2 linked regions of the Mus musculus genome follow. The protein of the gene in region 1 purifies or fractionates together with the protein of each later gene. This does not show direct contact. Links are inferred from orthologs where the notes say so. Each region holds a gene or a part of one and is shown in the gene's direction. Other genes may lie near its edges.

Region 1 (3,512 bases):
GTCCTCCATCCTTTCTCACCCTGTGACTCAGTTCTCAGTTGTGGTGAGGGGCATTGGACTCCCGGTGGGGGTACAGGGGATTGTGGGATCAGCTGCCCTGTCACCCCACAGCATGAACGGTGCCTTGGCGTTTGTCGACACTTCAGACTGCACCGTCATGAACATTGCAGAGCACTACATGGCCTCCGATGTTGAATGGGACCCAACTGGCCGCTACGTGGTTACCTCTGTGTCGTGGTGGAGCCACAAGGTAGAAGATGGCAGGTGCTGGGCCCTTAGAGAACGAAACCTCTCAAGGCTGGTGACAGAAACTGTTCCTGTGGGGCTGTTATATCCAGGGATCCCAAGCTGAGGGCATTATTCACAAACCTCGCGCAGCTGAGGGGTCAGCTACCAGAGCATTGGGCATGTCTGCTTGGCTGGGCCTGCTGGAGCACTGTGCCTGTGTTTACTGTTAAGTAGACAGTTGAACCAGTCCATGAAAACAAAACCTGTGAGCTCAGAGGGCTCCAGCTGATGAGATGTGACCCCTTGCTTCCCAGAGTCCTTGGGTAGTGTCTGGAATAGCACTCTATACTCAGGACAGGATGTGCTGTCTAGGACCCATCCCAACACTTATGTAGCACATTGTAGGACTGGCAATGTCAGTGCATAGCATAGCACCTGCCTGGGTTCCATCCCAGCATCTCCCACCCCCAAAAGGGCCGAGGGGAAGGAAGTGAGAGTCTTTAAAGCCTATGTGGGGCTGTTCCATTCAGTTCACAAAGCCCCTGAAGAGATGGTTGGCAGCAAGGAGCCCAGCATTTGAGTTGAGGCGGAGCTCCTGGGAGGCAGAGGCAGGCGGATTTCTGAGTTCGAGGCCAGCCTGGTCTACAGAGAGGGTTCCAGGACAGCCAGGGCTACACAGAGAGAATCTGTCTCTAGAATCTTGCGGAGAAAGCTAAGCTGAAGTTGCTGCTGTTCTCATTGGCACTGCTGTGAGAGTTTCTTGTCATAGACCAGTGGGTGACGAGCAGGCCCAGGATCCTTGCAGCATTGTTTGCTAGCCATCTTTTCTGCTGGAGGGGGAACACAGCCAGGTGCAGGTGTTTTTGTCCAGAGCTCAGGTTGGTGCTGTGGCTGCTAAGAGTAACGGTCCAGGGCAGCCTTGCACATTTTGCATGATGGTTCCCACTGCCCTCTAGGTGGACAATGCTTACTGGCTGTGGACCTTCCAAGGTCGCCTTCTGCAGAAGAACAACAAGGACCGCTTCTGCCAGCTGCTCTGGAGACCAAGGCCCCCAACACTCCTCAGCCAGGATCAGATAAAGGTCTGTGGTCCCTGCCTGGTTGGGGTAAGGGAACTGTTGTGGCACTGAAGGAAACCAAGCATTTGTCCTGTGACTGGACAGGGGCAGTCAATGGAGAGTGGAGGTAGGACGTGGAGAGGGCTCTGAAGAGATGCAGGGCCAATGAGACCTGACCCAAAGCCATGTTAGGTTAGGCAGTGCTTATAATCCCAGTAGGCTGAGGCAGGAGGATGGTGAGTTCTTTCCAGACTCTGACATATAGCAATAGGATGATCCTGCCTGTGTCCTCTGCTCCCCTCCCCTTGCACCTTCTTCCCCCCCACCCCCCCACCCCCCCACCCCCGACTTCAGAATACCCATGATAGTCTGTTTAAGCCAGACAGGCTATAAGCAAGTTCCAGTGGGATTGGAAGAGCTAAGAAGGGGTTATGTAATGGGATAGGTTTGTGGTATTAGGTCAGAGCTGGGAGTGACTCACCTTAGGAATCATCTCCATGAGGTGAGACTCGCCAGCTGGCCATGCTGGTGCCCTGGGGCTGAATCCTCTTAGTCCTGGAGGCTGTCACTGCACACTGGCATCTTTAAAGGCAGCAGTTGGGAATCTTGCTTTGAAGGCTCAATCCTGAGAGACTTGTCTTGGTTTCAGCAAATTAAAAAGGATCTGAAGAAGTACTCCAAGATCTTTGAGCAGAAGGATCGCTTGAGCCAGTCCAAAGCTTCAAAGGTGAGCCTGAGGGATGCTCACAGGAGCCTGATCTGGCTTGTTCTCCGGATGTGAAGGTGAACGAACTAGCAATGGGGAGCAGAAGGCCAGCACCCACAACACTGAGTGAAGGCTAGCTTTTTCTTGCAAGAAGCAGGGGGGAGTATGATTAGGAAGAGGAACGAGGGCCCCGCTTAAGGGAGGTTCTGTGGAAGGCTTGCCCAGTGCACAAGCACTGACATCTTCCAGACTTCTTCACCAGTGGTTGCTAGATATGGTGGGGTCATTGTCATTGAGCAAGAATGTCCTACAACCTTCCCTACCTGACAGGAACTGGTGGAAAGAAGGCGGACCATGATGGAGGACTTCCGGCAATACCGGAAAATGGCCCAGGAACTCTACATGAAGCAGAAGAACGAGCGTCTAGAGCTACGAGGAGGTAACCAAGCTTCTGGGCTTGTCTGCAAGTGCAGTGGTTCCCCGAGAGGCCGTGTCCCAGGGGTCAGTCTATTGTCTGTTCTCTCAGGGGTGGACACTGACGAGCTGGACAGCAACGTGGATGACTGGGAGGAAGAGACCATTGAGTTTTTTGTCACCGAGGAAGTCATTCCTCTGGGAAGTCAGGAGTGATCTCAGCACTGTGGTAAGATCTGTGAACAAGAAACTAGGAATGAGGGTCTGCTGACGAGCCCTGGCTGCTTGTTAGACCACCACATAGAGGACATCCCAGGAGGGTGGCAGTGCTGCTGCTAGTGGGTGCTAGGGAGCTTGGGGAGAAGCAGAGGCGGGCATGGCCATCTCCAGAGGTCAGGGACAGCACTGTCACCATGTTGATATTGTTGGTGCAGGACGGAGTGCCTACCTGCCTGCCTGCCTGCCTGCCTGCCTGCCTGCCTGCCTGCCTGCCTGCATGTGGTATTGCTTGGTACTGGGCTCCTTCAGGAACCATGAGAGAGAGGGTGGGGGGGGAGAGGGCGAGCGTGAGCGCTAAGCCTCTCATGGCATGGAGCCTGCTCAGTGAAGAGTCCGGCTGTGCTCCCTTGCTTTGTGTCTGACTAAATGGTGGTTCATCTGTTGCAGTGTCACCGTGCCGTGCCCAGGATCCGAGGCCACCCTTCACGGCGAGCCTCGTGCTGGGCTCTTACCTGTGCTTTCTTGCTCTGGACTGCGAGTGCACCCAGGGTTCTTCTATCCCGACACAGCTCTGTGCCTTCAGCCCCAGGTCCACAGCGGGGACACTCGAGCCTCTGCTCTCACCTTGCCCTGTTTGGGTTTTTATCAGCCGTGTCTGCATTGGAGCCTCACTGCAGTGTTCCTGGTGGCTCCTCTTAACTCCTGCTGCTGTCCATGGGGTTTCCAGAGCCTTCACCTACAGCTCAGTGGGGTTTCCATTCACGGACTTGCTGTTCCTGTGGGCCAGTGTCGTGTGGCCTGGAGACCATCAGGAGTCTGCACACCCACCACTTACTTGTGCCAGAAACTCTGGAGGCACCCACACCTCCCACCTGTTCAGGTTGTGG
Region 2 (4,105 bases), on another chromosome or scaffold:
AAATATTTATTTATCTATTACACACACACACACACTGTCCCTATCTTCAGACACACCAGAAGGAGGCATCAGATCCTATTACAAATGATTGTAAGCCACTGTGTAGTTGCTGGGAATTGAACTTAGGACCTTTGGAAGAGGTTATTGCAGAGAATCTGCGTTGAGGTTCTAGCAAGGGGAAGGGGTTGGTTGGTGGCTTACAGCTACTCACAACTCTAGTTGTGTTCCTAACCGCTGAGCCATCTCTCCAGTACCAGCATAGGAGTCTTCATAATTAGCTCCTGGCCCTGCTTAGAGATCTATCCTTTCTTTTGATAATGCCATTTAACCACCAAATTCTTTCTTTAAATGTACTAGTCTTGCTCTCATTCACCTTAAGCCCTCTACATGAACTGTTCACTCCACCAGAAGAGCTCTCCCTACAAAACCCCAAATAATAGTTGGCTGCCTGAATTCTTCAAGTTTCCACTCCAACTTGATACCCTCATTGTATCCTACTCTAACCCTTCATAATCTTTCATGCTCTCATAACCTCCACTGATCATTTCTTTCTCATAGCACAGTCAAATAGTAATAATAATTTACTGTGTATCGAAGCACTTTCTAACCTAATGTAGGATTTAGTCCTTTTCTCTCCCCCAAAGAGAATGCAACCCTTTGCTATTTAGTTCACTTATATACCCTAGCATATAAGAGAGAGTCTGGTGCATATTAAGCATTTAAATTGTTGAATGAATATGCCTCCCTAATGATGCCTTATGAAGCCATCACAAATAAAGCACTATTGGTCAGGCATGATGATTCCTGCCTATAGTCCTAGCATTCGGGAAGCAGAGGCAGGAAAGTTGAGGTAAGTTCCAGGCCAACCTAACCTATATGGCTAGGCGTGGAATGCAAAGTAGATCCTGAGTCCAAATTTTAATTCATTGATTAATAAGTTAAATGGATGTAACAGTGAATCCCCTGTAAGACTGATATTTAATATCCATTTAAGTCTTAAACAATTGCGACCTTTACACTACTCTGTGCCGCCACCTGGTGGCAACTGTGTAGATTGCTAGTTGCTTCCTCCCCATTCCCACCCCAGGAAGTCCTAAAGTTACTAGGAACTACTCTGGACTCCTACACACTGAGTGCGCATCGGACAGAAATTAAAGCGCACACCGCGCACTAAAACTTACAACTAGCCGGAAATTTCATGTCCAATAGTCATCAAGATATGATTCACGTGGTATAAATTTAGCCAATCAAATTTCTAATTCCTCCAACTCACGCTCTTCTGTTCTAGGCTCTCTCTCTTTCTCGGCAAGATGGCTTCTCCGGCCGTACCGGCTAATGTCCCTCCTGCCACTGCAGCCGCAGCCCCGGCGCCGGTCGTCACCGCAGCCCCGGCTTCAGCCCCGACCCCATCCACGCCAGCTCCGACACCGGCTGCGACTCCCGCTGCGTCCCCGGCGCCCGTCTCGTCTGATCCTGCTGTAGCTGCGCCTGCAGCCCCGGGCCAGACCCCAGCCTCCGCGCCAGCCCCAGCGCAGACGCCGGCGCCTTCGCAGCCCGGGCCCGCCCTCCCGGGGCCTTTCCCGGGCGGCCGCGTGGTCAGGCTACACCCCGTCATTTTGGCCTCGATCGTGGACAGCTACGAACGCCGCAACGAGGGAGCTGCCCGAGTTATTGGAACCCTGTTGGGTGAGTTCTGGGGAAATTAATGTTTTCTTCCTGTGCATCTTACTATTCCTCTCGTTCCATCGCCCCTGAACTCTTAGCCTGTTTCTCTTTTTGCACCTTCCTACTGTGGCTTGCCTTCCCGAGTGATCTGAATTCAGCCGAATTGCCGTTAAGCCACAGAAATGTGCAAGGAGTAGGTATAAGCTATTGCGTAGTTTGTGATACTTGATCTACATGTTATTTTATACTCCCAACAACGTGGTACTGAGAGGGCATGCTGCCAAAAATGAAAGCTCAAATGACAGCAAGTTCAAAGCCCTTGACCCGTTAAACAGAGTACCCACATGCCCTCTCTTATGCAGTGACCTACCACCACCCCAGCACAAACAGAAAGTGCCCACCACCCATGTTAGGGAAGAGGATGTGTCAGAAGCTTCCTCCAACTCAAATAAACCAGGTATATTTGTAACATATTCTGGATATATAATATCTAGCTTTCCTAAACTTTTCAGACAGGCACGTGTCCCAAGGTTTTCCTACATACTGGTTCATAAACCCTAGATATGCTCAGCTCCAAGTTCTACCCCCACCCCCAACCCCCACCTCACTCCTCTGATTTTTCATTTGGACACAGACTGTTGTTGTATTATGTGTCCGTCGCTAACCTTCAAGATGAAGAGAAGCCAACTATCTGAAGAGGTTGGCATCCCAGGCTTACGGGAGGGTGGCAGGAAGTGAAGCCCTCAGTGGTTTGGTCACCTGCCTGTGGGGCAGGACTCACAGGGAGCTGAGAAGACTCCTCCAGGCTGGTCTCTGCAGAGGCCCATGACCAGCACTCATTCCAGAGCCGAGGCAGGGGAAACTAGAGAACATGCCTGCTTTGTGGAAAGTAGTAGACCTGAGTTGGGCCTGGACAGCAGATTGAGGGCTGAAGCAGAGCACCTGCAAAGGGGAGGCAGAGAGAGGCAGAGAGTGGACGCAAGGAAATAGAGCTCGCAGGTCAAGGCGTGACAGAACTGCAGCATGAGAGGGGTTTGGGTGAGTTCTAGAGCTGCCGTTGTGCATACAAGAAGAAAGGACAGAGTGTGGCTTGGGCTTGGTATTCCTTGTGAGGTGCCCCTGAGTGTACCAGTGGGTTGGTCAAGTAGAAAATTGAGTAAGCAGGGCTGCCAGGGCGCTTCACTGCCTGCCCGTGCTTCACTTCCCAGAGCCCACATGATGGAAGGAGAAAACCTGCAGACGGTCCTCTGACTTCCATGGGCAAGCAGTTGCACATCCATAATTAATCAGTATAAAAGAAAGGCAAATTTTAACAGTACGTGTGAAGATGCAAATGTAAAGAGGTGTGGGCAAGTATGCCCTAGCCCCCAGAAGATAAGTAACTGAAATAAAGAGGTAGATGTACTCACCTACCACAGGGATTGGTAGCTGTGTTTTTAAAAAAAGTCAGGGAATATTTTCAGCTTTGTGTGCAGTCTGTCACAGCTACTCAACTCTGCCCTTGTAGCAGGAAAAGAGCCATAAATAATGCAAAAGAGATTGGGCACATAAACATGAACTGAAGTGTTTCTGGGCCAGTACTTGACCTAGAAAAGAAGCATAGAACAAAAACTGGGAACACTAACAATGCTGAAACCCTGAGGTGTCAGAGGAGCTAACAGATTAGGAAGAGAAGGGGAAAAGCTAGAAGAGACTGGTATCTTGGAGGCCCTAGGAGAAAAGGCTCTGAAATGGGGGAAGCAGTCACAGTGGTCAAAGTTGGTGAGTGTTCAGATGACAGAAGGTATACCTGTGGGTTAAGAACCTTGTCTTAGGGTTCCATTGCTGTGAACAGACACCATGACCAAGGCAGCATTTCACTGTGGCTGCTTACTGGTTCTGAGGTTCAGTCCATTATCATCAAGGTGGGAAGCATGGCAGCATCCAGGCGGGCATGGCACTGGAGAAGGAGCTGAGAGTTCCATGTCTTATTCAAGGGAACCCAGAAGAAGACTGGGCTTCGTCCCACCCGGCTAGAAGGAGGGTCTCAAAGCCCACTCCCACAGTGGCACACCTAGTCCAACAAGGCCATACCTCCTGTTAGCACCACTCTCTGGGCCAAGCATATTCAAACCACCACATAGTTCAGAAAATGAAACCATAACGCTAGCCAACAAAAGACAACACTAGCAGAGACATGTTACAAGGGGTAGGGGGTGAGGAACTTAAAGGAAGGTACCAGGACATCAAGTGAGAATAGTTGGGACCTATGGCTCAGTGAGATCCAGTAACTAATGTGAGAGTTAGGGGTGTGAGAGGAAGTCTGGTAAGAAAACCTCTGGGGGTGGAATGACCCTTTCACAGAAGATCATCAGAAAACACAAGTATTTCAATTACATTTATAACAGTAGCAAAATTGTAGTTATGAATTATCAATGAAAATAATTTTATGGTTAAGGGT

The links.
Region 2: the proteins of Eif3b (region 1) and Eif3f purify together in Homo sapiens (affinity purification with mass spectrometry; 14 studies listed by BioGRID and IntAct, counting the BioPlex papers as one, with this or other methods). This does not show direct contact. The link is inferred for Mus musculus from reciprocal best matches to the Homo sapiens genes EIF3B and EIF3F.

What each region holds. Positions count from the first base shown.
Region 1 is NC_000071.6:140,439,802-140,443,313, forward strand, and holds part of Eif3b (eukaryotic translation initiation factor 3 subunit B), read left to right. Parts: intron 1-111; coding exon 112-250; intron 251-1,184; coding exon 1,185-1,310; intron 1,311-1,935; coding exon 1,936-2,013; intron 2,014-2,322; coding exon 2,323-2,431; intron 2,432-2,518; coding exon 2,519-2,622; 3' UTR 2,623-2,635; intron 2,636-3,072; 3' UTR 3,073-3,512.
Region 2 is NC_000073.6:108,933,122-108,937,226, forward strand, and holds the start of Eif3f (eukaryotic translation initiation factor 3 subunit F), read left to right. Parts: upstream 1-1,293; 5' UTR 1,294-1,310; coding exon 1,311-1,686; intron 1,687-4,105. UniProt on the Homo sapiens protein: Component of the eukaryotic translation initiation factor 3 (eIF-3) complex, which is required for several steps in the initiation of protein synthesis.